Linked DNA regions of Mus musculus: all the other regions are reported to be linked to region 2. The links are microRNA targets in miRTarBase. Many come from high-throughput screens and were not tested one by one. Region 2 holds a microRNA gene; each other region holds the end of a gene's coding sequence.
Evidence for each region. The annotated mature microRNA mmu-miR-190a-5p reads UGAUAUGUUUGAUAUAUUAGGU and lies in region 2 at 3,759-3,780, opposite strand. An mRNA with a match to its seed (bases 2 to 7 or 8) in the 3' UTR can be bound and repressed. Matches are read on the target gene's strand: a 7mer-m8 pairs with bases 2 to 8, a 7mer-A1 pairs with bases 2 to 7 and ends in A, and an 8mer does both.

Region 1 (7,535 bases), not on the chromosome of region 2:
AAGTGCCAAGCAAGGAGAAGTTGGTGTGCTGGGTTGTGAGTAACTGGAACCCTGAGCATGCCAGGGTCAAGTATTACAACGAGCTCAGCAAGAGTATTGAAATCCACACCTATGGCCAAGCATTCGGAGAATACGTGAACGATAAAAATCTGATTCCCACCATATCTACTTGTAAATTTTATCTTTCATTTGAAAACTCAATTCACAAAGATTACATCACAGAAAAGCTCTACAATGCATTTTTGGCTGGTTCAGTACCTGTTGTCCTGGGTCCATCTAGGGAAAACTATGAGAATTATATTCCAGCTGATTCATTCATTCATGTGGAAGATTTTAACTCTCCCAGTGAGTTAGCAAAATATCTGAAGGAAGTTGACAAAAACAATAAGTTGTACCTTAGTTACTTTAACTGGAGAAAGGATTTTACTGTAAACCTACCACGGTTTTGGGAATCACATGCATGCCTGGCATGCGACCATGTAAAAAGGCATCAAGAATATAAGTCTGTTGGTAATTTAGAGAAATGGTTTTGGAATTAAAGTGTCCATCATTGTCACAGTGAAAAAGATTAATGAGACATAATTCAAGTTTTCAGGATAAGAAGAAACACGCTGCATTTGGGGCACCGTTTAATTTTCCTGCCCTCCCTTGAGGACCATGTATATTTTGGTGAAATTTTTAAGAGATCAGAATTAGCAATCACTCAATTTGGTTTTAAATTATCCTGTATATATGTGATAACGAGCACTGGAAATAATTTATTTGTCACTCTCATTTATAAACATTGTTTTTACATTTTATAGTTGACTGTAAAGTAAATTTATGATTTACTTGTTTCTACATCAATCAGATCTTTAATCTATTTGGGAGATAAAAATACATATCCTAAAATATGAGGGACTTTTTGCCAAGTATTATAAAGTATAGATTCTAGCTTGTATAATGCTAACAAAGAAGAATTATTGAATCACTTAATTCTTAATCTCTTTGACTTCAAAGTTGAACACTACTGACAACTGATAGAGTTTTTACTTGTACCACATTTGTGAAGGGGAGCTAATTGATGTAGCAAATAAGAAAGATATGAAGCAGAAATGTTATTAGACTTCACATTCATTTTTATTAAGTTGTTTAGCAAATGTAGATTCCCAATATTTTAAGTTAAAGAAAACAAGAATTTTCAGATAAACAATTTATATGGTTTTAGGGAGATTTGATTGTTTGTTTTGTGGGTTTAGTCCCTAATAATACCTAAGAGAATCTTTTGATAGTTCCCTTTCAAATCATGAAGATAACCACTATTTTAAAAATAAATAATTTCCTCTTATAACAATAAAAAAATGATATCTTCAAATACAAATAAATGTATAAATTATACCATTTATAGAACGCTAGTTACTTCATTCATTTGAAATATTTTTTCCAAAGCATCCATATTTAAGTTTTATTTTACTGTATTTGTTAATAAATAGAAGTAAAACTTGAAAGATCTATCTGATCATTTAAAAGAGTTTAAAATTCTTACCAATGGGTCAGATATGTCACAAAACACAATAAAGTGGGAACCTACAAGGAATACAGTGCTGACACAGAGTAAGATTTCAATATGTATTTTTTAAATAAATTATCAGTATTAAAAAAGTAATGGGTAAATTTTTGTTTTTGATAAAGGAACAGTTCTAGCCAAGAGCTATTAATTAAAATTTATCATTTTTATACCATTTAAGATAATATCCATACATAGAATATGTTGTTATTATATTCAGGGCTTTACACAACCAATGTAAATTTATTGCACTGAATTTGGGAGCATGTTATCTATGAACTTTCATCTGCCTGCAAAATTCTCTTCTGTAAGTGTAGAGGAGATAACTGGGCATATGCAAATACAATAGATTAGGGAAAAAATGTGATTCTGAAGACTCTGACAGAAAATTTTTCTTCAAAGTGTTTCTAAAGCCTGCATTCTATTCTGTTCAAAACCTACAGAAAAAAAAATAATGTTCTGATGACATTTATTTGGATCTTTTGTGGCTCTTTATATTTCTCTATTATGTATTGCAATTAGCCAAACTCAGGCTAATTCTCCTCATCTACAGAGAAGATTCATTTCAGTTTGACAAGCAGGAAGTATGTGCTCAATGAGACATAAGCTCCCTTAGCATGGAATCATTTGAGCAAAGAAAGACCACAGAATTAAACGAAGAGTATGATCTCATATTTTTTTAAAGACATAGTTACACAGGTGATATTGTTGATCCCCAACTGCCACAGAGGTAAAGATGAAAATGTGTTGTCACTGCAGGGTGACAATGGAGACTTAGTTAAAAAAAAAAAATACTAAACAATACTAGTAAATTTACTCCATTCTTTACCTACTCAACATGTGTTTGAATGGCAAGCTTTGTCTACTCACTTGATCCAACATATATTTTTCTCTAGATTATCTTTTTTCCACACATCGTTTTTACATGTATACCAAGAAATCATATATATACATAGATACTCTCATAAAGGCTCTAATCATATATTTATTTGCTTAAAAGTCAAATTCATGCATTTACTTATGATTTTTTTGATCCAAAAATGGTAGAGAGCTAAGCATGGATTGCTAAATTTAGAATATGCTCTCAGTGAAAGCTGGAAAGCATTTGATGTTGCTTTCATCCACCATTGCTATATTGGATGCTAAGAGACCTGAAGGCAGTTGCCTCTTTTGTTGGCTATGAATTTGAGCTCATTCTTGGACTGGAAGTACAATTAAATGCCAATAGTGTAAGCCAAGCCAAGGTATTAAGTATTTCACAAGTGCATCTACATATTTAGAACCTGATGCCAAGCCACAGAACGTCTGAACTTTACGTCCATAGTTAGAGCGAGCTTTTTAACTAGAATATACAACAATATTCATAAGTCAACCTCTTCTTTTCTGTGAACTAACTCGTTATTTATTTATGACATATTTATTCCTGATATGTTGAGAGACAGGCATGTCAACCCCACACGTAGTGATGATAGAAATTAGAATTTAAGGATCCTATTGCTATGACTCTCATTTCTCTCTGCCCTATCCATACCTTATTGTACAAATATATCTCAATTCCTATAAATGTGAATATCCTCTGGCATTATTTAGTCCCTGTAGGCTAGTATGTTCTGGGAGGACTTTAGTTTTTGGAAATATATTGAACAGAATTTGAGATGTTGACACTCTTTCTGATATTGTTTTAGCTGTTGAACTTTAGCAGAAGGAATGAGCTTCACTATGTGTGAGTGGAAAATGTACCACTGACAAGATATGCTATTGGCTGCTCTGTTAATAAATCCTGTGACTCATACTTTCTGTAAGCATATCTCTTATGAAAGATTGATTGATTCAACCAAATTGGCTTGCTGCTGGTATAATAAAAGCAGATAATATGCCTAGAGATCCAGGATGGCTCTAAACAGATCATGAGCAAGTTATCACCTAAAAGTGCAGAAAGTCCTTATCACCAGTGCTCTGAGTATTTAATTGCTATTTAGTTCAGGCCTTATTAATAGGAATACAAAAATAATTATTTTAAGCCTTACTGAAGAGAAATATACTGACTTATCTAGTTAGCTGCATTGTATTTTAGAGAGTGAAGATCTTGATAGCCATATATTTTAGGACAGCCATCACCTAATGAAGTAGAAAGTATAAAAGATACTCTCACTGGGAAACCAGCATCAGTTTACAAGATTTCTATTTACTGTGAGAAGCTCAGTCCTAGAGTGTACAAAGCTTGAACCAGAACTGTTGAGGTAGAAATGGACAGAATACTTGAGGAATTATTCACTCACTCTTTAAACTTTTGTCTTTAATTGGAGATTAAATAAAGAATGAATAAAAACAGGAAATAAGCTACTCAGATTTTCTTTTTTATTGAACTTTTTTCAGAGTAGACTTCATGGCTGCTACTCACCAAGAAAGCGTTTTTGTGAGTTAATGTTTCAAAACATTTTAGTTCTCCACATTTTTATTTCATGCTTTATGATGTCAGCTCCCCTCAACTCAAAGCTCAAGAGAAGGAGGTTTGTTAAAAATTGCAATCAAGGTCTAGATATAAGAGATTTCAGAAGCTAAAGGATAAGCATTTGTTCATACAGGAGGGGTTATTAATGGTTGCCTAGTAAATAATTACCTCAATGAAATTAGTGGACATGAAAGATACATTTAATGTAATCGAAATAACAGTTTCTTCATTCGAAATGGGGATAATCTCTTCTGTTCAAATTGCTTCTAGATTCAGAGAACAGACAGGTTAAGTCCTTCTTATCATATGTTTAAAAAAAAACAAAAGAAATAAATATTATGAAAGATTAAACTAGATTTGAAACTTCTTAGAATTCTATTTTAATATTAACCATTCACCAACTGTTAACCTAATAAAGATGAAATTAGGACATAAAGAGAATTGAAAAATGAAGCATCAGGATAGGCAAATGTGTATTACCAAACTGTGGGGAGAGAAACAGATTTACCCTTCATTCTTGCCAATTTGATTTGTTGTATAGTGAACATACTGCAAACATCATCTCAATCAAGTGGTTTTTGCTGTGGGCATCTCTCTTCTGGAGTCTTTATGGCACTGTGAAAATGGCTAAGCTCTGCTACTATCCAAAGTATGGTCCTGTGTAATTAATATTCAATCCATCCATATTTATAAGCAGTTAATAGAGTCTAAATGGTAGACACACTGTTGAACTAGAAATATGAGTAAGTCTACCCTAGACTATCATTGCAACAAATTGAAGCCTTGAGAAACTCACTTGACCTCTCTGGATAACCTTGTTAGTAAGAATTCCTTCAGCACAACTGCTTTATAATATGAGGCCTAAGTTGATATGTGCATATATTTGAGTTCCCTTGTCTATCCAAAAATATTTTTGAAAGTTAGTACTCCAAATAAAATTCCCTTTCTTTTCTCTAGAACAATAAAGAACAGGTTCTTTACTGAAACTTACAATATAGTAAGTGTTCAATTAACGAATCTTTCTCCTTTATATTTTTCTTCCTCTTAGGTCTCTTGCAACATACAGTTTCTTACACTTAGTTATCTACAGAAAACAACCATATATTGAACCCCATTCTAAAACAATTCACATTTTTTATACTATATGTATTCTTACTATAATAATCTAAAACTATTTATTGATGCAAACTCAGGAATTCAGTGGAAGCATGTCGAGTTCCTTCATCAACAGGAATATAGAGTTTGAGTGTATATGATTGACTATATTTAGAAAACTTATTCTTTTGACTCAAGGCTAATTTATTTCCATTCATTTAACACACTTTGGGTATATTTTCATTTAAAAGTAAATTCCATACCACTACTGTTTTAAAGCATTACTCAAGGCACTGTTCCTAAGCCATGTAATCTAGAGTTTGCAGAGATAATTATTAATAATACTGACAGCTGGTCCATTTTCCATGTAATTGGAACATTTTTATTTAAGGAAACAAAACAAAACCACAAAAAAACAAACAAACAAGAAAAGCAAAAACAAACAAACAAAAAAACAAAACAAAACGATAAAGGAAGAAGACAGAAACCATGGCATTACTACAAAGTAATCCTATGCCTCCCAGAGGTTCTCTGACTCACATCTGCTTTGAGAAATTCCTACATCAATGGCATAAGAATTATTTACATCATTTGAAAGATCGTCATAATACATAGGATGACCTAGGTCTGTATTTTTAAGGAGTCCATAGACAATTCAAACATGTTGCTAGTTTTGGAAGTCTGGGTCCTGTCTATTAAATAGAAGTAATTCTATACTCAAACAATACAGGCATGAGATATTGCCTTTCCTTAGCTCACTTGGATTCTCCTTAAATATATTGGTAGGTGTTACTATATTTCAAAGTCCAAGATGTTCCTCAATCTTAGTTGTGTCTTGTACAGTGGTGCTGCTCTTCAGCTATGATTTAGGGAAAACTATCATTTCCTGAAAATTATTTTTCACAATCTTTCTTAGATTTTTAAATGCACTTTTTTTTTCAGTTTTAAGTACAAAAAACAAAGGTAGGCAATTATTAGGTTCTCTTGCAGCCATCAAAATTGCACATATTTGATCAATTTCTTTCCCGAGTCTCAGAAGCTTATTGATAGGTAGGATATGGCAACATGTTATAACACTTTGGATTGTCCACAATCATGAGTTCAATATTAAATGTGAGCTATTCACTCACTAGCTCACTCTCTGTGCCTGATCTCATCTCTGTTGTTATCATGATTTGTATGTGTACAGTAGGGGTAGCCTATTTTGAAAACAAATGAATTCATCTCTAAAACCTTAGACAATTATATGTATGTGTATCCTGTGATGTTCTACCACTGAGATATATGCCTTTGGTCATTAAAAAAAAGAGAAAATAAGAGAAATTTAGAATACATAAAAATTTCAGCTCTGACATCTATTGCTATTAGGCTGGCAGCTTAGCTCGTAAGAATTGCTGAAAATTTAAACAAGCCAAAGGGTGAATATTCAATAGAAGAGAAACAAACATAGTGTGGAAGATTGCATTGACATCACTGAAATCAGAATGGCTACTCCTCGATAGAAGGGATTTACACAAACCTAGTGATGAAGCCTGCGGTAACATCTACTGAAATTAGAAAGTACTGGGAGGCAAGTGGGGGTGGTGGCACTGATGATCTCACTAACCACATAGAGCGTTTCCTAAAATAAGCAGACTTAATCTTCACTGTTACGAGAAATCAGTAAATTAATATTAATTTAGCTTGCTAGCCATTTATACAGCTGAAGTCCATGGACAGAATCACAGAAAGATTCTCAGAGATCATTTTCTAGTGAGGAAATTGCCCTTAGAAATATCCATCAACTTGACTAAATATTTCATGTCAACTGTTGGCTTAGGCACAGAAGCAGCTGATGATAGATTACAAGAGAATAGAGTCTCCCTTTACCTTTCCTTAAGATTTAATTAAAAAAAGGGAAGAGTTCAAAAATGTGACGATATAAACTCATTAAACAGAAATTAAATTGTTCAGTGATGCAGAAATCGAGCAATGAAAATAAGTTTAGGAGGCTGTGATTAAGACTCGACAAATTCTATGATACATAAGATTTTGACATGAACATTCTCAACTGCATACATATAATTTTTTAGTTGAATGGCCCCAAAAAGAAACATTTAAGGAAAATTTCCACATGTTAAAAAAAGGATAGTAACTAAAATAGCATATTAATTATTTTAAATTATGTTTCTTTAAAAAATGCTAGAAATGTCATATTTTCATTATGACATCAAAATACTTCAAAATTTGAATTGGTTTACTGAATTCTCAGACAACCAAATGTTTTTAAATTATTCGAACATGTAAAGTACATGACCTAATAGACTTGGAGTTTCATTGCAAAAAACATACAAGTTCTACTAGAAAAAAAGTTTTACAGGTGATTTCTATACGATATAAAGTGGTAGAAACGTGTTACTGTTTCTAAACAGGCCACCATTCTCTTCGATTAATGAGGTTATA
Region 2 (7,772 bases):
GTGGGCAGGATGCTGGAAGTAACCCTTCTATGTAAAACATGACCAGCAAGAATGAGTAACAACTATGTCCCCTATCATTTCTACTCACCCCTGCCCCTTGTACTGGGGACTGACTCCAAAGTCTCGCACATGTGAGGCAAACTCTACCACTGAGCTACACTTCCAGGTTCCTCATATTTTAAACATTGCGTTTTAGGTTCTTTACACAAAGCACGTACACACGGATCCCATATTACATGCAAAGACCAAAGCAGGCTTCAAGGGACACGTGATATGGACAGGCACTGTTTTTGGCTTCTCCCTCAGCACTGGCCCAGGCAGTGGATAACTCAGACACTGTCACTGTTCCATACTGCCTTGCACGCCACTTCCAGGCCTGCACCACCCTTCCCCGAGGAGCAGTTCATCAATTCTCTTTGGCCTCTAGCTTAGACATGTCTCCATTTCACATTAAAACTTTCTAAGATGTTTACTGAAATTAAGCAGTTAGTGCATTCTCTTTTCTACCCTCAGGAGTCCTACCTCCTTCCTGATGTCTTTAGTGACCTACCCACCTTCTTTGATGTCCCCTGGGCAAGTATGGGCGGGAGGGCATCTGGCTCCGTAGTCCTCCTTCTCATTCACTTTGTGAATTATGTCCCTGAGACCCTTTACCCAGGAGTAGCCCTAACTTCTGCCTCAGGCTTAGAAAATGTCCATAAAATACTTTTCTCCCTCCTCCCTGTACCCCCAATTTTTCTTGTGACAGTGTCTCAGGCTGGCCTCTAATTATGCATGTAGAAGATGGCCTTGTACTTCTGATCCTCTTGTCTCTTGAATTAGAGGCATGTACTAGCATGCCAGGTGTATGGGGGCTGGAGACTGAACCCAGGACCTCATGTATGTTAGGCAAATACTCTATCAAGTGAGCAGCTCTATCTCCAGTCCATACAGACCAGACTTTTACAAGCGATTACTTATTATTATTACTGTGTATGTGTACATGTGTGTGGATACACGTGTCATGGTACACATATGGAGGTTGCAGGCCAGCTTTCTCTCCTTCCACTGTGGGATCTGGGGATTGAATTCAACTTGCTAGGCTTGCAAAGCAAGCCACTTTTATCCACTGAGCTACCTCACCAGCCCAGACCAGACTTTTTGAGAGCTAAAAAGTACCATGACTCTTCTCCACGCAAGCAGCTACATGTACCAAAGAGCTATTCAAGCTGTTTCTCGCCCTTCCATCATTTCACATCTTGCCACCTTCTGTGTTAGTCTCTTACTGAATGGCCACTACTACAAGAAGGTCGCATTCAGAAGTCAGAAGTCCAGTGGAGTTTTTTAAAAGTGTAAATGTGTTATATGTAAGTTAAATGTCCTCAAGGGAAAAACGGGGGCCAATACCTAGGACTCCCACAACGTGCAGGAGGTCTTTTCCTGACAGTTGGATGCTTGAGTGGAACAGGTGGCCATGTTTTCCTTTCTTGTGCAGAACCTGGCTGCTCCTGCCTAGCTTCTGGTTTTGACTTGAGAGATGCTTTGGGGAGAAAGTCTTGGCCAAAGCATACCATGGCTACATCAACTTGTGCTCTGAAGGACCAGTGGGTTGGCTGGCTCTAAGACCTCCTTCATCCTTAATAAAGCTAACAAAAGGCAAATCTCCCAGAACAGCTGGTACCCTTCACAGAGGCCTGGTCTCAGGGGAAGCTCAGGGTGACACAGAGAAACCACTGCTGAGCAAGTCATGTTAGTAGCTGGATACGCACCACCTTCACATCCAGATAGATAATAAAGGAATAGGTTCATGTAGCATCCATTGGAAAAGCCCCAAGCCTGCACAGTTAGTATCTTGGGAATAGTTTTTCCCCATATAATACAATTGCTTTATTACATTTTTTGTAACTTATATTCAATATAAAAAGTAATACCACTGAGTTGATCTTATAATTAGTCTCTGATGAAAATAAATTCTTTAGAATTCTGTCATACTCTCAAAAAGGGGAAGAAGGGGTCACTTGGACCTTGATATAGGAAGTATGGACAATAGAAGCCTTTCCATTATTCAATGAGATACAGTTTGGTTCATCTTAGGAATCTCTGGTATGAGCCTTCTATGCATCTAAGGACCTAACAAGGTCCTGGTAGAGAACCACCTGGCAATACACTCTCTGCTTGTCTGGGACCAAGGTCTGGCATGTGAGCTCCAAGCCTGTAGCTTAGCCATGCAGAAAACATGTTTGCTTTCCCATGTCACAGAACACCTGTGTGCCCGTTCCCACTCCCACTCAGAATATGAATCAGCCACATGGGAATGCCAGACAGCAGCAGAGTTACCCCCCATCCCAAATCTCACCACTTCTGGCAAGTGTCTTCATCCGAAAGACCTTTTAGAGCGATGCTTAAAAAAACTACTCGTTCACCAATGGTGGCTTCTACATATTCCCAAGTTCCTTTTCTGACGACCCCCGTCAAACTACTCTCCTGCCCCTGTAGGGTAAGAGGTCTTGCTCATCCACAGTTAGGAGTGCCATCAAGAGTTGTTTCCTCCTAAGGTAAAACCAACAAGGCCTGGGAGCATAGCCATGCTATTTCCAGGAAAAGTACTTATATAGTCTCTGTGCTAGACAGCTCAGAGTAAACTCACATACAGTTCACGGACTCATTTATGGGAAGAAGTCAAAGCAGCCAGAGAGGCTGATATATACCCGAAAGAATGCTTTCTGGGTCATAGCCCAACTTCCTGCGGCAGCCAATTAGAGTATTTGTTTACTTTCGGACTGCCGGGTTCTTCTAAATATTAACAACCTCTGTGCAGAAGTTCACCTACAACAGAAAACTCAACCGACAGAGCACAGTCCCGAGCATGTTCTCTTCATCAGACATATCTGATCCAAATTAAGGTCTGCAATTAAGGTTTACGGGCTCACCATCCGTAAAGTGAGCACAGTCACCAGGGTTTAGATTTGTTACCAGAAGCGGAAAGTTAGAGATAATAAATGTCCCGATTTTTTTTTTGGCATGGAAAACAATTACAAAATTTAATCTGTGAGAGTGTGTTGAGAGTTGTCAGGAAGAAATATCTAGATCAATGTGTTTGCCAGTTACAATCCTAACCTTTGTCCTATATCAAAGACACGGGTTGTTATCTTCCATCTTTTTCCACTGAATACTTTTCTTAAGGACTCCTAATTGCATTCAACTAAACTTTAGAAAATATCTTAAGCCTTCAGGAGCTATACTCCCTTTCCACAACAAACAGATAATGTAGTAGTATTGATACAGTTTGTTGTGGTCTGAAACAAAGCATCCCCCATCCATAATAAGTTAGTGTGTCTGAACATTTGGTCTTCAGCTGGCAGTGCCATTTGGCTATGGAAGCTTTAGGAATTCACAAAGCCTTGCTGAAGGACATACTGGCCTTTGAGGTTTTATGGCCTGGCTCCATCTGCTGTCCTATCTCTCTACTTCCTGACTGCCGGCCTTCCCTCTTTGATGGTCTGGCCCCTGATAAACTAAGCCATAATACACCCTTTTGCCTTAAGTTGCTTTTGGTTGGGGCATCCTGTCACAGCAACAGAAAGGTAACTAAGACACAGGTCTTAAAGGCTACACGAAGAAATGGAATGAAACATAACAACATACGCACTCTGTCATCTAAACCTACTTGTGATTTTTTAATATATTTTTTCCTGTTGCTTCTAAACTTTGTTAGGACCCCCGGAGACAGGGCAAGACACTGTAGGAATATGCTTGATATATAGTTGGATTAAATAACAACCTAATATATCAAACATATCACACAGAGGCCTGCAGAAAAGGCATCCAGGTTTGACTGAGCTTGAGAATATGGCTGTGGGAGTCAGTCACCTCTGCAGTATCTCCCAGCCTGCCTTGGAACACAGGCGTGTCTGTAGGTGTGGCAAGGATGCCATTAGCAACAATGCTGGTGGCACACACTCTGAGCCTGGGCTCCTTTCCCCAAATGAAAAGGGAGTCTGTGCACCTGTCTGTCACTCACGTCTGAGAGATTACAGGTAAAGGGAGGTGCTTCCATGGTCAGGGCCCAAGGGTGGAACTACACCAGAACCATCTTCACATGCCACAGACTAGTCTCCTTTTAAAACAGGTAACCTGAGAACCAGGTAATCAAAACAGCTGGAAGTCATCACCCTCCCTCCCTCCCTCCCCAAACTAGTCCTCCAAGCAGCACAGGTGCTCTGCCTGGGTGGAGGATAACCTCATTCACGTGGTATGGGGGTGGGTGGCCACAGTCACTATGGCAAGTATGCAGGAGCAGCTGCCATTTATGGCACCCTGAGGATTTTTGTCTTTAAGGTTACAGGACAGGATGGAGAAAAGTAACCTCAAATATTAGCTGGTTTTGCTGTTTCGGTAATTTTTTTTCTTTTAAGCCGAGGAAAAGTTCTTTTGTAACTGTCAGGAGGATGTTATGCATTGTGCAAGAAGTTTCCCACGGTGGACGGCCCTCCTTGCAAGCCCGGGGCTACATGCTTTGGGATGATAAGCTGCTTTGAGACACTTTCATGGATAATGCCTAGCAGTGTACACATAAGGGGTCCACACAGGCCGCCTCCGGCAACCATCCCTCATTTTCTTTTCTTAAGATTTACTTATTTATTTTAAGTGAGTACACTGGCACTCTCTTCAGACACACCAGAAGAGGGCATCGGATCCCATCACAGATGGTTGTGAGCCACCATGTGGTTGTTGGGAATTGAACTCGGGACCTCTGGGAGAGCAGTCAGTGCTCTTAACCGCTGAGCCCTCTCTCCAGCCCCCCTCATTTTCAATGTGTGTGGTTTTCAAACATTGTTTTCCAGAACTGTAAAACACAGAGCCTGCCGTTCCCTGGTCCCATTTCAAGTCTTAGCTGTTCTTTGCTGATCATCTCCGTTAGTTCCCAGCTTTGTGACATAAGCACTAACCATGGATGCCTAGGTGTTATCATTTCTCCCCATTTTACTCATTCCATAAGCATCTTCACGCTGTACAGTCTGGCAACCATTACTCTTCATTACTGTAACAGCCTCATCATTTCCCTTCAAGAAGACCCCAACTTCTTACTGCTACCAACCAAGCTTCTAGAACATCCCTCTCACACAAGTCTGGGTTTTTTTCCTTAGGAAAGGAACTGGAGACAAGTCTAACAGCCTAAGACACTATAAAGTGCAGTGGTCCTGAGGGACGGGAATCATTTTCTCTGCCAATGGGGTATCAGAGGGAGTACAGTGTTCAGAAACTGGGACCCCAGCTCTATGTTCCCTCCCCACTCAATCACACGGTCTGACAGTGGTGAGGACCAGATAAAATACTTAGGAGACTGGTCTGGACCGTGTCTTGTATTTACGGTAGCCCTGTCGCCCGCCCTCTTACCCAACTAGGGATCCATGAAAGACCTTATCTTCCACACAAAGATGAAAAATGAAGGTGTCAGAAAGCATATGTCTGGTCATAGTGATGGTGACAGAGGTGATAGCATTACCATTTACTAGTCAGGCACCATGTTCTTACGTTATCGACTTATGCTATAAGAACAATCCTGCAGGATGAAGGAGATCCCAGTAAGTCTGTTTTCCAAATCAAGAATGTTGACGCAAATGAGCAACCAGTCAGAGAAAAACAGACAAGAGCTGAGGAGGACCCTAGAGAAGGACAGGGTGGAGGCCAGGGGATGCTGGAAAATAGTGGAATATGGGTGATACACGAGCAGCAGGCCCATTCACAGATTGCAGGTGTCAACTGACCAAAACACAGAGTCATCCCCTGTGAAAAGGCCTCTTGGGATAGACTAGACAAGCATAAGACACGCAGATTAAGCTGCAAACCTCACAACCTTTTATATATATATATATATTTTTTTTTTGGAAGGGGGGGGTTTGAGACAGGGTTTCTCTGTGTAGCCCTGGCTGTCCTGGAACTCACTTTGTAGACCAGGCTGACCTCGAACTCAGAAATCCGCCTGCCTCTGCCTCCCGAGTGCTGGGATCAAAGGCGTGCGCCACCACCGCCCGGCACAACCTTATTTTTAAGATTCACCTTTAAAGTATACTTCTCAAGTTCTATTAACTTGACTTGCAAAGCAGAAACAAAAACCTAACCCGAAAATGCAGTTGTCCCTGACCGGACTGTCAGATCTTAAACTCTGACAGTATCAGATGATCCAAGAGCCCCAGGGCACCAGGAACGAAACCCCAGCAAACACAAAAGTCAGAGGTCAAAAATCTCAAATTATGCCTTGATGAGGAAAATCTGAAATGTGCCTGCCATCAAGGCCAGTGCTTAGGAGATAGGTCTGAAGCCTTGACGACTTTAAGAAGCCTCCAGCCTTAACAGATTCATTAGCCTCCTGTCTGCTGCATACATGTCCTCAACACTGCCTTGGCACTGATTGTTGTATTTCAAACCTCCAGACACCATCTTTCAATTTGACAAAAATAGGTAGAAATTTAGGCAGACCTAAACTGGGGGTCTAACTTTTTTGGGGCGGGCATACAAATAGCCAAAGTTCCTTTCCCAATGTATGTGGGTCCCTGGGAGGTGAATATAGATACCCATAAAGACTTGCATAGGTAGGAAGAAAATGAAACCTCCTCCTTCTGACATCTTCCTAAAGGTGGCTGAAGTGTGGGGTAGGAACCGCAGCTGCTTACTAAGGCTGAGCCTGACCCTGAAGATGGGCCAGCTCCTACTGCCCCATAGAAAAGAATCTATCTTCTTGGCTACTTCTCTTATGAAAACTACACTAGCCAGCCACGGGCTCCTGTACACACTGAAACAGCCTAGTGCTGGGTTTCTCTTTGAGATGTGCATTATTCTCTATTTGTGTGTGGATGCACAGGTGGAAGCCAGAGGTCCATGCCAAGTATTTCCCTCAATTGCTTCTCTACGATACTTCCATATATATAACTTTGTGTGCACGTGTGTGTGTGTGTGTAGAGTATCCATGGAGTCAGAGAGGATGTGGGATTCCTTGAAGATGGTGTGTGTGTGTGTAGAGTATCCATGGAGTCAGAGAGGATGTGGGATTCCTTGAAGATGGTGTTACAGATGGTTGTGAACCAGCTGCTGTGGGCGCTAGGAATTGAACTTGGGTCCTCTGGAATGGCAAAAGCAAGTGCTCTTCACTGAGCCATCTTTCTACCCACTGCAAGCACCATATTGTTTTTGGTTGATTTTTTGTTGTTGTTGTTGTTGTTTTTGTTTTTTATTTCCTCAGAGCTGTAAAGGCGCACACTACCGCGTGTGCTTTTTATGTGGGTGCTGGGAAATCCATACTCGGGTCTTCGTGCTCGCCCCAGTAAGCAGTTTACTGACTGAGCCATTTTCCAGGCCTGTTGTTTCTAAGAAAACAAGATACCCAGCATTGTTCTTTCTGTATCAAAGGTGCAGTAGAAACTGATGAACTGAAGGCTGTCAGTCTCCTATCTACTAACAGGAGCCTTTGACAGAAACTATCCACAACTTGCTTTCCATGGTGGAATTCCATGTGGATGTCCTGTTTCTCCTCGGAATAACCAGAGGTACTCTTCTTGGCAGTTAACTAGACCCACTCACTGGTTTTCACCCGCCCCCCTCCCCCACTATGTAAAATGGTGCTGGGCAGGCAGACCGGGTGCGACTTCCTGGTGTAAGGATGGGGAGGGAGGAGAAACTCTGTGTACCCTGCTTAGCTCCACTGCACAGTCACCGCTGGATGCAGGACGCAGGGGATGAGCGGCCGCCAGTGAACACTGACCTTTGGCTTTGCTCTTGGCTTCAGCTGCTCTAAC
Region 3 (7,772 bases), not on the chromosome of region 2:
GCTGGCGGCAGGGAGTGGAGGTGGGAGAGGGCTTCTGTAGCCTACCATTTGGGAGAGCCCAAGAGGGCACTTCTTACCACCCCAAAAGGGATCTGGCCCTATGCCCCACTTCTGTTCTCTGCCTGCCTAGAATCTCTTCTGGAATGGAGAGGAATTCTCCCAGGGAGCAGGGAGGCTCTGCAAGGCCCCGGGCCGGTCTTTCTTTAGCCAGTCCTGCTGGTCATACCGAGTTCCTTCCCAGTTGACAAAAGCCCACACCTGGACTCAAGAAACCAGTGAAGGCTGACCTCTGATCACAGGAGTGGAAATGCATTCCATGGTACATGGGGACCTCTCCACACGGAAGGTCTAGAGGTAGGGAGCTATGTGTTGGGGATGCGCCAGGCTCCAGATGTCTGCAGTTCTTGACTACAAGATAGTACCTCTTCCCAATTCCTGACAGCAAGGCCTACAGCTACAGCTCAGGAGTCCCCACCCCTCCTGAGCAGGTAAGCAGCAGGCCAGCAGGACAATCTGGTCGGCTTCCATTCCAGCTCCAGGCTAGGACTAAATCACATGACCACCCCCTCCCTTCGAGAGAGCGGAGGAAATCAAGTTTTCACCTGAACATAAAAAACATAAAAATTCTCATAGAAAACAGGAGTGACTTGGGAGCAAGGAACCTCACACTCGGGGTGGGGGTGAGAAGAGGCAATGTAGTTCTGGCCTCTGGTCCTATGAATTAGTAGCCAGGCAACACTGGGTACATGGCAGTGCTGCCGAGTGTGCGACAAGGACCTGGACATAATGCAGAGCTTAGGTGGCCAATGGTGGTTATTTGTATTGTCGCTAACACAACAATGCCCACACACAGTAGGTACCCAGCAAAATACCTGATTCTTCACTCAACTGAGATACATGACTGACAAGAGGGCAGGGAAAAGCCGGGACGTCTTACCTAAAGGCCAGAAGTATGGAGACTACATCTGGGGTTTTGCTTGCTTCAGAATTAGGCCCCTAGGTAGCATATAAACCCATGCCAGGGCAAATAGCAGACACTACTCAAAAGCACTTTGGAATTCTAATTTAAGCTTTACAGCTGCCATTTTGAGATAGGATCTCACAGTGTAGCCCTAAGTGGCTAACCACACTATGTAGACCAGAATGGCTAAAAACTCAGAGAGTCACCTGCTTCTACCCCTAAGTGCTATGATTAAAGGTGTGTGCCACCACACCGAGCCAGAGGTGGTGCATTTTAGTAACAGCTCAAAGACATTAAGGTTCTTGACCAAGCTGCACAACATAAATGGTGATGCTCCATTTGTCCCCAAACTCTTAACCACCACCCAGGACTTCTTAACCCCTCCCACTTACAACCTTCCACCCAAGAAACGCTTACTTGCTTCCAGGCATAGATACGTAAAATCCATATATTATATAAATCAAACATTTAGCCATAAATCTATTTCAAAATAACCCTTGGGCATACACACACCACGTAAGGATGAAAGCAAACCTGCACAGTAATGCACAGATGTGTTTGTATTTACACAGGGATTAAACCTTGGCTGAGTGGTTGATAGCATAGGATGCACAGCACTCAGTTCTTACAGATGATCAGTTTTGACTTTATAATCTCCAGTGCTGAGAATGCTGTTCTGTGGCATGCATTGGTGGTGCACACCTTTATGCCCAGCACTCGGGAGGCAGAGGCAGGTGGATCTTTTGAATTCCAGGCCAGCCTGGTCTACAGAGTGAGTGCCAGGACAGCTAGGGCTCCACAGAGAAACCCTGTCTCAAAAAACAAAAAAATTAAATTTAAATTAAAAAATAAAGAATGCTGTTCTGCATATAGACACACAGAGAGTACAAAATGGCAGAAGTATGTTTAGAGACATTTCATAAATTGTTTGAAATTCTATCCTGATCCCTGATCCAAGTCAAAGTTCACTGAAAAAAAAAAATTTATGAAACTGAAGTCAGCCGTTTCCACTTCTTTTTTAATTTTTGTTATTACTTGTGCTACAGTGTAGATGCCAGAGGAACTGCTTCTGTCCTTCAATCTTCTTGAGGCAGTCTCCGGTTTATGCCAGCCTCCTGCACACTCCAGAGCAATCCTCTTGTCTCTTCCCATCTTGCTATAGGAACACTGAGACTACAGACGCAACACATCAGGCTTTTTAACACAGGTTCCAGGGATCAAATTCAGGGGTCCAGCCCATGTGACCAGGACTTACCTAATGAGTCATCTCACTAGTCCACAAACATTAATTTTTAAAATCAAGTATTCCAATATAATGTGATGCAAAGATGTACTTTTTTGATATTTACATGCAAGCAGGGCAATAGTATGTCCTTATTTTCTGTAAGCCATTGTGTTCCTGTAAAAGCAGGAGCTGACTGGACAGTAAAAACACTGCAGTTCACAATATGCAGTGGTCTCACATCTGTGTGATTCAAGGAGTGTTCACTGGCTGTGTGGCAGGAGGGGAGGCAGAGGGCACAGGGTGCCTGTTGTGTGTTCAGAACCAAGACTGCGATGCTCAGGACAGGACTCCACAAACACCTCCAACTGATTTTCAAGTTTGGTTTTGAATTGTTTTTTAGTTGCTCGGTGTCTGATAGCCTTTTACTGTCACCAAACTTTTCCCAATCCTCACATGCAGTTACGGGATACCACACGGAATCACAGCCTACAGCTTAAAAGTCTGAGGACTATTACCACCTTCTACAGAGGTGAGATAGGACGGGACAGGCAATCTCAAAGGCTGCCTTCAGCTGCTTCCGTGATGCTACAAGAGCCCAGGCAGCAGCAGAGAAGCCTGCCGCTCCCACCCATTCCTTTTCACCCCTACTAGCATCCAGCCTCAGGTCTGCACAAAGCAAGCTCACATCCCACAACTGTGCAGCCATCTGTAATCCTGGCTAAAGTTCACTCCTTGGGAAATCTAATGTGGGGGGTGTTTGTTGCTGGAATGTGTGTGGCTGGAGCCTAGTGTCCCAGCCCAAACAGCCTCTGCTGGAGCCCCAAAGAAGGCTCACCGCCAAAGGAGCCCGGAATCCCCAGCCACCAGCAGTGCCAGAGAATGGAATGTGCTGCTGGGGTGTTGCTGGCAGGAGGTGGGGTCACTGGGAGCTAGGGAAGGTGGGGGCTCCAGCCACAAGGCCACTTCTGTTCTGGTAGAGACTGAAGGGGGATGGTGCTAAGAGGGTGGGGGTGGGGCAGACCAGTCTGTTAGCTCAGTGGCTAGCTCCTTAGAGAGTGGGGACCAGAACATGGCCTTTACCCAAGGCTTCTTAGACCATAGCTGCTATGAACACTTGTAACACAAGTGTTTCCCACTCCACTTTGGGTGGGGAACTTAACACCCCCCACCCCAGTACCTCTATTTACCTATTTAGAATATCCAAGAACTAGACAAACTGTGACACTGTAAGACATGAGCTACTGGCTAGGTATAGTCCCTGGCAGGATGACCTGTGAACAGGGCCAGCTGTGAGAAGAGACACAGATCTCTGAAAAAGGAGATTCATTTGGCTTCAGCCCCAGGGGCTACAGAAAACACCCCAAAATCATCACCTATTCCAGGTCTGCCAAGACCTTCTGAAGACATCCACATACTAGACCACAAAAGACTCAACAGACCTGAGCCCAAGTCAGGCTAGATGCCAGAGTTCCAAACCTGCCCTGCCACATGCCAGGACTCTAACACAACCTGGCTCTCTGTCTCTGTTCCTGGGTACCAGCAAATTGGAAGGTGTATTTTGACACAGACATCCAATTCTACAACGTGCAAGCTGTCTATCATTCCACATTGAGATCTCTGTACCACAGGCTCCATGGTGACACCATCACCAACCTTGCTGAACCCTGTTAGCTCTGCTCTCTTAAGAGGAACCTGCATCTGAAGACAGCCTCCCCACCTGTTCTCACAGGGACCTCCAGGAAACAAAAAAGGCAAGCCCCCTGTCTCACATCTGTGACTACAGCCAGCCTTTTTCAGCAGTGACAGTCACCTTTTGCTTTGTTTTGTTTTTCGGTTTTTCAAGACAGGGTTTCTCTGTAGCCCTGGCTGTCCTGGAACTCACTTTGTAGACCAGGCTGACCTTGAACTCAGAAATCCGCCTGCCTCTGCCTCCCAAATCCTGGGATTAAAGGCATGCGCTACCACGCCCGGCTACACAGTCACCTTTCAATAAGATGGCCTGATACCTTAAAAAAAAAAAAAAAAAAAAAAAGTTAAAATCATTCTTTGTTGAAGGAGGTGGTGGAAGAAGAGGAGGGAGAGGAGGAAGAGGAGGCAGCAGTGGCTTTTGCTATAAGGACACAGGACAGATGTGCATTCTTTCTAAAGGCTACAGGATGATAGCACATGGGTCCTTGGTAGGTGGGGCTGAGCTCAGAGCTGGCTCACAGTGCTGCTGCTGTGCACTGCCGGCCTTACCATGTGGAAAACAGAGCCTACCTCATGAGCTTGGTGCCAGCGCTAACATAATGTGTGCAGTGCCCAGCTCCAGCCTAGCCTGATCACAGGGCCAACTTGCACCTCACCCCACCAGAAACCTGCTTACCAGCTCTCAGCCTCCTGCAGCGCTGGCCTTTCTGTCTTTCCCAGAGGATTAGCTAAAACCTTTCCATTCTGAAGCCTGCATTATTTATAGTTAAGTTCTGGTCCCAACCTCAATCCAAGACCGTGGGTCTGGTCACAAGATAAAGCCCACCCCTCCTGTTGATAAGGCACAGCTTTCCACTGGGCCTGGCTGGCTCACGAATTGCCACAGGAGGTGTGCAAAGCCCACCTACAGCCCACCCTGGGCAACATGAAAGACCTGAACAGCACTAGGAGACCTGACAAAACCATAAGCATGGGGCCTTTTATTGACAATTCTCCACAGCGTTCCTGTCTACTGCTCTACAGTATAAATACGCAGAGGTGAGCATCTCTCACCAGGACAAAGGAGTACACCTCACCTGCTTGGTCCCCACTGCCAAACCCTCAGTGCTCTACTGCTGTGTGTGTGTGGCCTATCAGCAAGGAGGACCTCAAATGGTTCAGGTGTGGGCACCACACCCATGACTGGGCAGCAGAAACAGTTCCTGAAGATCAGCTCCAAGGGCAGTCCATGACTGCAGAAGGGTCTCAGGCAGAAGCCCCTTGTCTTCTTCATCCTACCCTGTGCTGCGTGCTCTCAGGAACCATGAAATAAATAAATAAATACTCTGAAAAAGCTCCAGGGGAAGGGGCCTGAGCCAGCTCATGGCTTAAGAAGAGGCACAGCACCCTTGGCAGGTCAGAGGGAACATAAAACTGGCCATGTGACTGACCCTATCCTACAATGCTATCTCTACTCCAGGAACAGCCCTGAAATCCGGGCAGTCCTACACGTCCCTGGACCTCAAAGGCTTGCAGTCTCTCTGCTCCACTCACCTGGCCGCATGTTCCATGAGATAAGGGCTAGAGATATGTGGCAGTGGGAGAAAGGTGGGGTGCCCTAGACTCAGAGCAGGATGGAAGAGTGATGTGAGGGTCCTGTAGCCACCCCAGCAGGGCTGAGGACACCAGAGAACCATGGGAGTTAAGATTCTGTAAGCAGAGCTTCCCCATCCTGCCATCCACTTGACACTGAAGGACTTGAGCAGCACCCTCACCTTCCCTCTCCTTGGGACACCTGGGAACGCCAGTCCTGAGGCTATTCAAAAGGCAAAGGCAGGCCATGGAGCTCTAAGTCCCCTCGCAGGCTCTCTGGGGCTGAGAGACTGACAAGTACCCAACAGGGAAGAACCTCTTTTCCAACCTCAAGTCTCTTGGATCCTAAGGTCTAGCCAGCCTGACCTTGACGACCAGAGCCCAGATGAGAGCAGGCTGTGCTCAATTCTGCCCTCTGGTGGACACTCCCTCGCTAGCCCTGAGTTAACAGGGTATAGGATAGAGCAGAACCAAGAGCCGGGACCCCAGGGGCTCCTCTCCCCCTGGGCCTTAGAGCATCACCAGCCCAGCTGGAGGCAGCAGGGGAAGGGCAGGAAGGACCTAGCTGTCAGGCTACGTTTGCCCAGCACAGGCCTCAGAGGCCCAGAGTTGGGACAGTAGGGTCACTGCTGGCCCCAGGACAGTTGGAGCCTGGCTTCTCTTCTCATTTGCTCAGGGTCTGATTGCAGGAGGCGCACACACACACAGTCTCTCTCTGGGCTTCAGGAGCTGGAAAGAAAGAAAAACTCAGTGAGACAGTTCTTTGTACCCTTTAGGCTCAAGGTGCCAAGTACTGAATTAGCCTCCCCAGTCCTGAGACAGACCACCCACGGCCCGGCCCACACCCTCCCTGACCCAGCTCCCTCCCTCAGACACGCTGGGGCACTGTGGCTCTGACGCCAACAGCAGGCCTCTCCCAGGTGTTCTATGCATTGGAAATTCTTCTGGCATCAACAAAATAAAATACCAGAGGAAATTTTCCCTAAACGTTTTAACAGTGGTTAAAAAATCTCTGGGTGGTAAGATTACAGGATCATTTTTCTCTTCCTTTCTTCTTTATAATAACCTCAAAACTTTATAGTTAACAAGCATGTGCTACTTGTAAGATTGGCAAAAAGCCTTGCCCCACACTGCAGCACATCACAGGGCAGGAAGTAAGATATCACCGCAGTTGTCAAGAGCACAAATACACATCCACGCTCCTGTATGTGCACGCTCATGCTTCCTACATGTGCACATCCATGCTCCCTTCTGCCTGTCAGGAACACAGGGGCAGGGGAGGACTTCCTTTTGCTCATCTACAGGTTTCATTTACAACAAACATACACAGCATTTAGGAAAGGAAGAGAAATTCCTTTGATTCTGTTAAAAGTGGACCTGGGGTAATGAAATAAGATTCAACCAGGTGGTCTCCTCTGGGAGGAAAGAGGAGTCTCGGGAGCTGTCTTGCTCTATGCAGGGCAGCCTCAGTCCTTCCCACAGGCCGCCTCTCTGGCCTCCTCGCTCACCTGTGGCTCCCATAGAGGACCTGGGCACCTTGAAGGAGCAACACCGCGAGCAGAAGCTGTTCCCACAGTTGCTGCAGCTCCGCTGTAGACGGGAACAACAGTGTCAGATGGAGCCCACCCTCAGGCACCTGACACCCCAGTGCTCCCTCCAATTTTATACAACAGAAGAGGGGCCTCAGTGGGTGGGATGAGACAGGACAAAACAGCCAACAGAAGGCTGATAAGGGTGTGGGCCTTAGCAAACAGAGGGCACTGGTCCTATGACTCGAATGAGGGCTTAGACTCCATTGCTGACTCTCCTCAAGTCGTGCATCAGCCCCAGTCACAGCACACTGCCCCGGCAAACAGCAGCAGACTCACCCTCTTCTTCAGCACGGAGAACGTAGCGGCACAGCCTGCACAATTCCCTGAGAGACAAAGGCAGCAGCTGAGCTACGATCCAACCCAGGCCGCTCAACCCAAATTGTTCCTGACTCTAACTGGGCCACTCAGGACCCAGCCAGGCACAGCCCAGCATCTTAGCTGGGTGCAGAGAGCAATATGTGTATTTAAAATAAGTAAAGGTGCCAGCTCCTCAGAGCAGCTTTCACCAAGCTACACACAGCTTGAGTCCTTGCACGCTCCCAACACCAAGTGCCACACACACTCACAAGCTTGGCAGATTATCAAAGAACAACCAGAGAATCTCCCCCCTGAAATCTAGCCAAGCCAACATGGACCTGAACCCCAGCATCCTCAATGAAGCCTACTAGATGTGACCTTTTCATAATGTCTCCTTCCAAACATCTGTCCACAGTGAGGGACAGATACGCCTCCA
Region 4 (7,772 bases), not on the chromosome of region 2:
AAATCTTAAAAAAATAAAATAAAAGCAATCTACGGATGTGGCTCAGTAAGCAGGTAGTCAGAGCCCACAGCACCACATAAAACAGATGAAACAGCAAGTGAGCTAACAAGTATAAACTGGCTGAGGATGGAGCCCTGTGGGACAACACTTGACAAGTATGCAGACAGAGTTCAGACCCTAGCACCCCCTGTGACAAAAGAAGTGATCAATATTCAGATTGTATTACAAAATGGTGGTTTGAATTCACAATTCTATGATTTTAACAGGGAAGTTGTTGAAAGGAAAAAGAAAGTTGGGTTGTTTGGTCATTTTAGAAAGCCCAAAATAGCATGTGGAGGGTTGAAATAGGATTGTGAGTTCAAGCCTGAGCTACATAATGAAGTTGTCTCAAAAACTTACTGTTATAGGGCACCTTGGATCTCAGGGGAGGAGTCAGAGTCAATATGGTTCATCCACTGTATGAAATTCTCCAGGAATTAATGAAAAATGTTAATTCAATATGATTCCAATTCAAAGATGGTCCCTAATTTATAATAGTCCAGTAGTACATACAAAAGCATATCCATAGAGCCACCCTGCTTTTCATTTTCAGATGGTAGTCAGTAAATTATGAGTGATACTAAGAAATAAGTAACAAAAGGAAGCAATGCACAAAGCCATCTCCTAATTAAACTTCCGTTCATTTTTTTAAAAAAAATTTTACTAATTTTTTGTTTCATGTATATTGATTGATGTTTTGCCTACATGTGTGTCTCTGTAAGGGTGTCCAATCATCTGGAACTGGAGTTACAGACAGTTGTGAGCTGCCATGTGGGTGCTGAGAAGCAAACCCAGTCCTCTGAATTCTCCAGAAGAGTAGTGGTGCTCTTAACTGCTGAGCCAGCTCTCTAACACCCCCTCCCCTTCATTCTTATTCTAACATAATCTTAATTATTTTGAACAGTTGTATATCAAAATTTGGGGGGCAGGGAGAGGGCTATTGAGAAATAAACAGAACTTGCAAAATGGCAGCTGACAGATGAGACTGTAGGCAGAGCAGACTGCAAGGCACTCACTAGAGTCACTCACTACAGCTGCTCAAAAGGCTCTTGGGGTCTCGCAGCTATAATTTCTTTTTTGGTGAAGAAAGCTCTAACTTTTGGTACATGTGCTCTGATTAGAAAGTTATGAGTAAGCTATTTGTAGAGAACTTCCTGGAAATGCATATTGAGATTGGGGAGAATTTATATTCTCTCTTATTTTCTAATTTTTTTCATGATGAGTGTAGATTACCTTTATAGTTTGAAAAGATGATGGTGGTTTTTAAGAGTGTCACCTGTAGCTTAGGCTGTTTTGAAACTATGGAGATAGGAATGACCTTAAACTAGGACCTCACAGGCACATAAAACCCCATAAGACCAGCTAAGATGAGGGTTTTTGTCTTTGTTTTTATAAGACTTATTTATTTTTATTTATATGAGTACACTGTAGCTGTCTTTAGACACACACTAGAAGAGTGCATTGGATCCCATTACATATGATTGTGAGCCACCATGTGGTTGCTGGGAATTGAACTCAGGACCTCTGGAAGAGCAGTCAGTGCTCTTAACTGCTGAGCCATCTCTCCAGTCCATAAGATAATGCACAGCACTAGCTCTTCAGTGCTGTGAGTTCCTAACATTTTGCTAGCTCTGTCTGTCTATTTCCCCGGTACCTGTCAGAAGTGACTCTGTTCTGTTTGAAAGTTGGAGATGATTGGTGTTTCTTTGAGATGGGGTTTCATGTAGCCCAGGTAGACCTCAAGTTTTCTATGTGGTCCAGGCTGGTCTTGAACTTCTAATCCTTTTGCCTCAGGCTCCCTAGAGCTGGGATTACAGGTGTGAGCCACTATGTCCAGCTAAGAATATTTGTTAAAATTAAATCTTACAAAGTAATGATAGACTATTTACACTTCAGCCATGTGGCTAAGGAACAGAGCACTGTTTAAGATAACAAGCACATATGGGATAATGAGAAAAGATTGCTGAAAAACTGGAGACACTTTGAAGCTGGCTCTTTGCAGCAACTTTGGAACTCTATTCTTGATACATATTATTTTGCTTGCAGATGATGAAGAACGAGAGCTTCAGATGGATCCTGCAGACTATGGCAAACAGCGCTTCAGTGATGTCCTTTAAGTCTAAGGGATTCCCGAAACCCAAAGTGCTGTGCAACAGATCATCTCTACTTGTCAATTTTGACTTTTGCTGTAAAGATCAGTTGTATCAGTTGTAAAGATACATTGAGATAGATTTAAGGAAATTTTAATGAAGGAATGTACCAATGTACATATGTGAACTTTTTCATATTATATTATCAAAGCAGATACTTTTTTTGGTTACTACACAGCTGGGCCAAAAACAGTTAATCTTTGCATTTTAAAGCAAACTAATGTAAATTTCACATTTTATTGAGCCTAATTTTTTTTTCACAAAGAGACAAACAGGAACAAATGGTTGTACAGGTTATATGCTGCACATAGTATAACCACAATGAGAACTTATTCGGCTGAAAAGTCCACATTACTACATTTTTGTTCCCCCATAGGTGTCCTCTACTACCCCTCAGTTAACACTCTTGAAGAAGTTCTGAATAGTTACACAGAAGTGGGGAGGCTGGATGCCAGACAGTGGGCAAATGTACAGAATGGCCTTCTACTCCTTTATCTTACATGGGCCCTGATGTGAGTGTGCTGAGGCCTGATGAAAAGCCTAGGTCACCGTTACATCCTTACCATATCTATCAGTAGTTCCTTACTTGGTTCTTGAAGTTGTGGAATGCATGGTTGACAGTGTATTTTTATTTTTCAAGTAATACCAGAACTGTTTAACTCTGGTCAGCACTGGCTAAAATTCTTTCTATTTTCAGAGCTCAAGCTGGTGAATACATTCACCAGTTAAGAGTCAGACCCTGAGAGAGACTGAATCCACTTTGAAATGAGTCTGCAATCAGTACAGCAAAGCTTTGCTGGTAGTTTTAATGATCGTATTTGATTAGACTTTTCCAGAACTACTAAGTAAGGGATTTTAACAGGTTTTTATTAATGAACAGATGAGTAGAAGTACCGTGAAGTCTGCAGCTATTTTATTGAAATAGCTGAAAACTTTGTAATAAAAAATGAGTATTTGTAATTAATGTTAGTTAAGAACCCACCAAGCTCATTTGCTAGACTTACAGAATTATTTTCAGTGCATTGTGTCTTTTGGCATTATTCATTAGGATATATAAGCTAGCTAATCCTTGTTTACTGATTTCAAGCACTTTTAATTTTTTTGTGTTCCCTAAAAATTAAAGGTGTTGATCATAAGGCTGTTAATCCCAAGGCTATTATTCCTTTTTTTTTTTTTAAGAAGGGCTGCTATTAATTACACATAAGCATGAACTACTAGAGAGTGACTGTAGCTCAGATGTGCAGAGGCCTGGGTTTGATTCAAACACTAAAAACAGCAGACAAGTAAGTAGACATGAAAAGTCCCCACACTAAGGCTCTAATCCAAATACTAACAGAAGTATTGTTCACCTGCTGACATCTGAAGTCCTTATAGTTCAGTCCAAAGTTATTTAATGGCCAGGAAAAGATGGAATAATTTATTAAAATTTGTTTTTTCTGCTATCTCAGATTATATACCACTGGGCATGTATCACAACTGCAATCCTAGTGTTGAGGAAACAGAAACAGGTGTGTCCCTGAGGCTCACTGAATAGCCATCCTGGCCTAATTAGCAAGTTCCAGGTCCCTGTAAGGGACAGTTGTTCCTGAGGAACATCTACACACACACACACACACACACACACACACACACACACACACACGCATATATAAACAAGTTGACCCTCTGGCTTCCACATACACTCATAAACACCTGTACCTACATGTGCACACATGTAACTGCACACGCACATACCCACACACCAAGAAACTAAACAGTTCATGATTTTGTTATCAGTAAAGCTAGGCCTCTGTAGTAAAAAGTATGGTTCACATTAAAATACAGTCAAAGGGGAGTGACATACAACCATGGGCATTAGAAAGGGGAGCTGAACCTACAAATGCCTAGTGATACTCCATACTTGATACTGTAGAACTGTACAGACAAAATCATAAAGATGCCTGTTGGTTCCTCTGTTATAAAAGCAGTCACTTGATTTTATGGTACCTATCTATCTTTATATGGAAAAAAACTTCAATTAGCAGCCTAGACATTTTATAAACTGAGGAATCTTGGACCAATTGATAATATTTCTGACTGTATTAACATTTTAGTGCTATAAAATACTATGTGAATCTCTTTAAATTGTGACATTCTACAGTCTGTATTAGACATGCTATTTTGTTCTGTTTACAGTGTTTTACTTCTGCCTTAAGATTTAGGGTTTTTTTTTTATTTTGTTATATTTTAATATATTTTGCCCTGAATTAAGTGTTAATTTGATGGGAACTCTGCTTTTAAAAAAATCATCACTTTCTGGGTTCTAATAAATTAAAAGTTAAACTTGTTTCACAGTTTTGATTATATATATATAATTACATGAATATAAACATTTACATCTTGACATTAAAACTTGAATAAATGTTATCATTTATTTTAAGGTAAATTGGACTAAAAGACTAGGGTTGGGCTGGTGAGATGGCTCAGTGGGTAAGAGCACCCGACTGCTCTTCCAAAGGTCCAGAGTTCAAATCCCAGCAACCACATGGTGGCTCACAACCATCCGTAATGAGATCTGATGCCCTCTTCTGGTGTGTCTGAAGACAGCTACAGTGTACTTACATATAATAAATAAATAAATCTTTAAAAAAAAAAAAAAAGACTAGGGTTGTTTACTGTAGAACCAACTTATTCTGTAAAGGTTGAAAGTCTTTTGTGTCCTTAGAATTAGTTGGTGGTAGTGAGATTGTAAATAAAATAGACAAGGTCTTTTCTAGAGGTTACATTAATGTGGAAGCAGTCAGCATGAAATGGATAAAATAGAGATAAAGTGGAGAAATGGGAAAGTGGGTGTGGGGTGACCTAACCCTGGGGAGGAGAGTTAAATATTACTAAGTACACATCAGACAGACAGACAGACCCTGGGCCTGATTTAGGTTTTTGAAACCTCAAAGCCTACCCTTAGTGACATCCCTCCTTCAACAGAGCCACACATCCTAAATAAGTACACTCTATGGTGACCAAGGATTCAAATCTATGAGCCTGTGGAGGCCATTCTCATTCAAACCACCACGTAGATGTATGTGTATGTACACATGCAAAGAGTTAGGTAGTAACAGAGGCAGAGATTGTTAAAAAGAACTTATACTACTGTGGGCAATAATGCTTCCTGAAAAAACCATTGACTACCTAACAAAAACTCTAATATCATGCCTGAGAAACCACCCTCTCAAGTTGTTGGGTAACAGACTTCAAGAGACGCAAAACAATATAAGCTGTGGCTGTTTTCCCTGGTTGTCTCTCATTGCTGAAGACATGATACATTTCAGACAGAACTTGGAGTAATCCAACTGGAGCTGATCTGGAAGTTTCTCTGAAGAGTTGCTCTCATAGGATCTGTGCTATGCAAGCTGTCAAGGAAGGGCAGCATTGGGTAGTCCTACCCAGCTGTAAAACCTATGAACCACAGCAGGCACTGGGCCAGCAACAGATCTACATTGGTAAAATAATAACAGATATCTTGGGGTTTACCATCAGCTTTCTAATATTGAAGGCTTGCTCAACAGGACAGAAATCATTCCAGGTCCTGTAAATCTAGTCATCTACCTGTGCGAGGTCACAGGCCTGAGGAAAACCTAAAACACTGTAATTCCAGTTAAGAGCACTGACTGCTCTTCTGAAGGTCTAGAGTTCAAATCCCAGCAACCACATGGTGGCTCTCAACTATCCGTAATGAGATCTGATGCCCTCTTCTGGGTGACTGAAGACAGCTACAGTGTACTTAGATATAATAATAAAGAAATCTTTTAAAAAAGCAACACTATAATTCGTAATTGCACTCCAAATACTTACCCTTACACCCACAGATGAGTTTAGCTATCATCAAAAGGAGCTTCTGTTTGCAGCAGGAGACCATTACAGAAAGTCACAACTAGTCAATTGCAGAGAACAAGACGCAGTCACAATGGAGACATCACAGCACAACTGCATTGGAAGTTCAGGTAATATCTCTGAAGAGAGAACAGAAAGACATAAGAGTCAGAGGACCAGATGGCTCAGCAGGTAAGAGCACTGACTACTCTTCCAAAGGCTTTAGGTCAAGTCCCAGCAACCACATGGTGGCTCACAACCATCTGTAATGAGATCTGACGCCCTCTTCTGGTACGTCTGAAGACAGCTACAGTGTACTTATGTATAATAATAAGTAAATCTTTAAAAAAAAAAAAAGTCAGAGGACCAGGAAGTCTGCTCTGAGATTGTAGCTATGTCAGGGAGCCACACCCTTGAAATCTCAACCACATGGCTGCCTAGACAAGACTTGAATAGGCAAGGCTTCAAGTGGGGGATAGGAATACCAACTCAGCCATAAAACTTTCCACACTTTCCACCTTCAGTTTGTCCTGCTGCAGAGTGTTCTGGGACCAGATGCTAGAAGGACTGTCATCAAAGTGACCAGTGAGACTTCATCCAGCAACTGATGAAATCAGATGCAGAGACCCACAGACAAACACTAGGTGGAGGTCAGGTTGTGCAGTGGAAAACCAGGAGGAAGGATCAGAGGAACCACAGGGCTCAGGGACACATCTCTAGAACACTGCACACAGAATCAACGGACTGGGACTCGGAGGGACTTGCAGAGATCAGGGAACCTGTATGGTTTTGACCTAGGTCCTCTGAATATATGCTATAGCTGAATAGCTTAGTGTTCATATGGGAATCCTACCAGTGGGAAGGGGTGCTGCCCTAAGTTTTGTCTACTTGTGGGACCGTTTTCTTCCTACTGGGCTGCCTTGATGTGATAGTATGTGCCTAGTCTCATTGTAGCTTCTTGTGCCGTGTTTGGTTGATGCCCCTGGGGCCTACTCTTTTTCTTTTTTTCTCAGGCAGGGTAGTAGGGGGTGGATCTGGGCGAGAGGGGAGGTAGGGGAAACTGTGACCAGGTAATATATGAGAGGTTTTTTTTTTTTTTTTTAAGACCTGAATAGAGCCGGGCAGTGGTGGCACACACCTTTAATCCCAGCATTTGGGAGGCAGAGGCAGGTGGATTTCTGAGTTCGAGGCCAGCCTGGTCTACAGAGTGAGTTCCAGGACAGCCAGGGCTGCTCACAGAAACCCTATCTTGAAAAACCAAAACCAACCAACACAACAACAACAACAAAAGAGACCTGAATAGTAATAATTGATAGCCTAATGCAGATGGGAGCAATCTCATGGGATGCCAACCCTAGATAAAGAACTATAAGCAGTTAACAACTGCTATGAATGGGAGAAATAGTGTCCCTAGGAATGGTCACCCTGGTAACTACCTGTACTGGCTAGTTTTGTGTCAACTTGACACAGCTGGAGTTACCACAGAGAAAGGAGCTTCAGTTGAGGAAATGCCTCCATGAGATCCAACTGTAAGGCATTTTCTCAATTAGTGACCAAGGGGGAAAGGCCCCTTGTGGGTGGGACCATCTCTGGGCTGGTAGTCTTGGGTTCTATAAGAGAGCAAGCCGAGCAAGCCAGATGAGGCAAGCCAGTAAAGAACATCCCTCCATGGCCTCTGCATCAGCTCCTGCTTCCTGACCTGCTTGAGTTCCAGTCCTGACTTCCTTGGTGATG

Region 1: the mRNA of Fut9 is a reported target of mmu-miR-190a-5p. Seed matches in the 3' UTR shown: 7mer-m8 at 879-885.
Region 3: the mRNA of Zfyve27 is a reported target of mmu-miR-190a-5p. Seed matches in the 3' UTR shown: 7mer-m8 at 5,441-5,447.
Region 4: the mRNA of Golm2 is a reported target of mmu-miR-190a-5p. The part of its 3' UTR that is shown has no 7-base or 8-base seed match.

The regions. Positions count from the first base shown.
Region 1 is chr4:25,612,737-25,620,271 of GRCm38, reverse strand. Fut9 (fucosyltransferase 9) reads left to right here. Exons shown (of 3, transcript NM_010243.3): 3 at 1-7,535. The coding sequence ends at 539. Among named protein-coding and RNA genes, the nearest start is that of Gm24977, 50 kb to the right of the region's middle.
Region 2 is chr9:67,232,942-67,240,713 of GRCm38, forward strand. It overlaps Mir190a (microRNA 190a), which reads right to left and starts at 3,785; the gene lies at 3,719-3,785. It overlaps Tln2 (talin 2), which reads right to left. Exons shown (of 58, transcript NM_001081242.2): 53 at 7,739-7,772.
Region 3 is chr19:42,188,787-42,196,558 of GRCm38, reverse strand. It overlaps Zfyve27 (zinc finger, FYVE domain containing 27), which reads right to left. Exons shown (of 13, transcript NM_177319.3): 11 at 7,316-7,362; 12 at 6,956-7,037; 13 at 1,966-6,176. The coding sequence ends at 6,112. Among named protein-coding and RNA genes, the nearest start is that of Sfrp5, 9.6 kb to the left of the region's middle.
Region 4 is chr2:121,931,393-121,939,164 of GRCm38, forward strand. It overlaps Golm2 (golgi membrane protein 2), which reads left to right. Exons shown (of 10, transcript NM_001205369.1): 10 at 2,086-4,828. The coding sequence ends at 2,156. It overlaps Gm39916 (a long non-coding RNA gene), which reads right to left. Exons shown (of 3, transcript XR_866673.2): 3 at 6,012-6,178. Among named protein-coding and RNA genes, the nearest start is that of Gm39916, 8.7 kb to the right of the region's middle.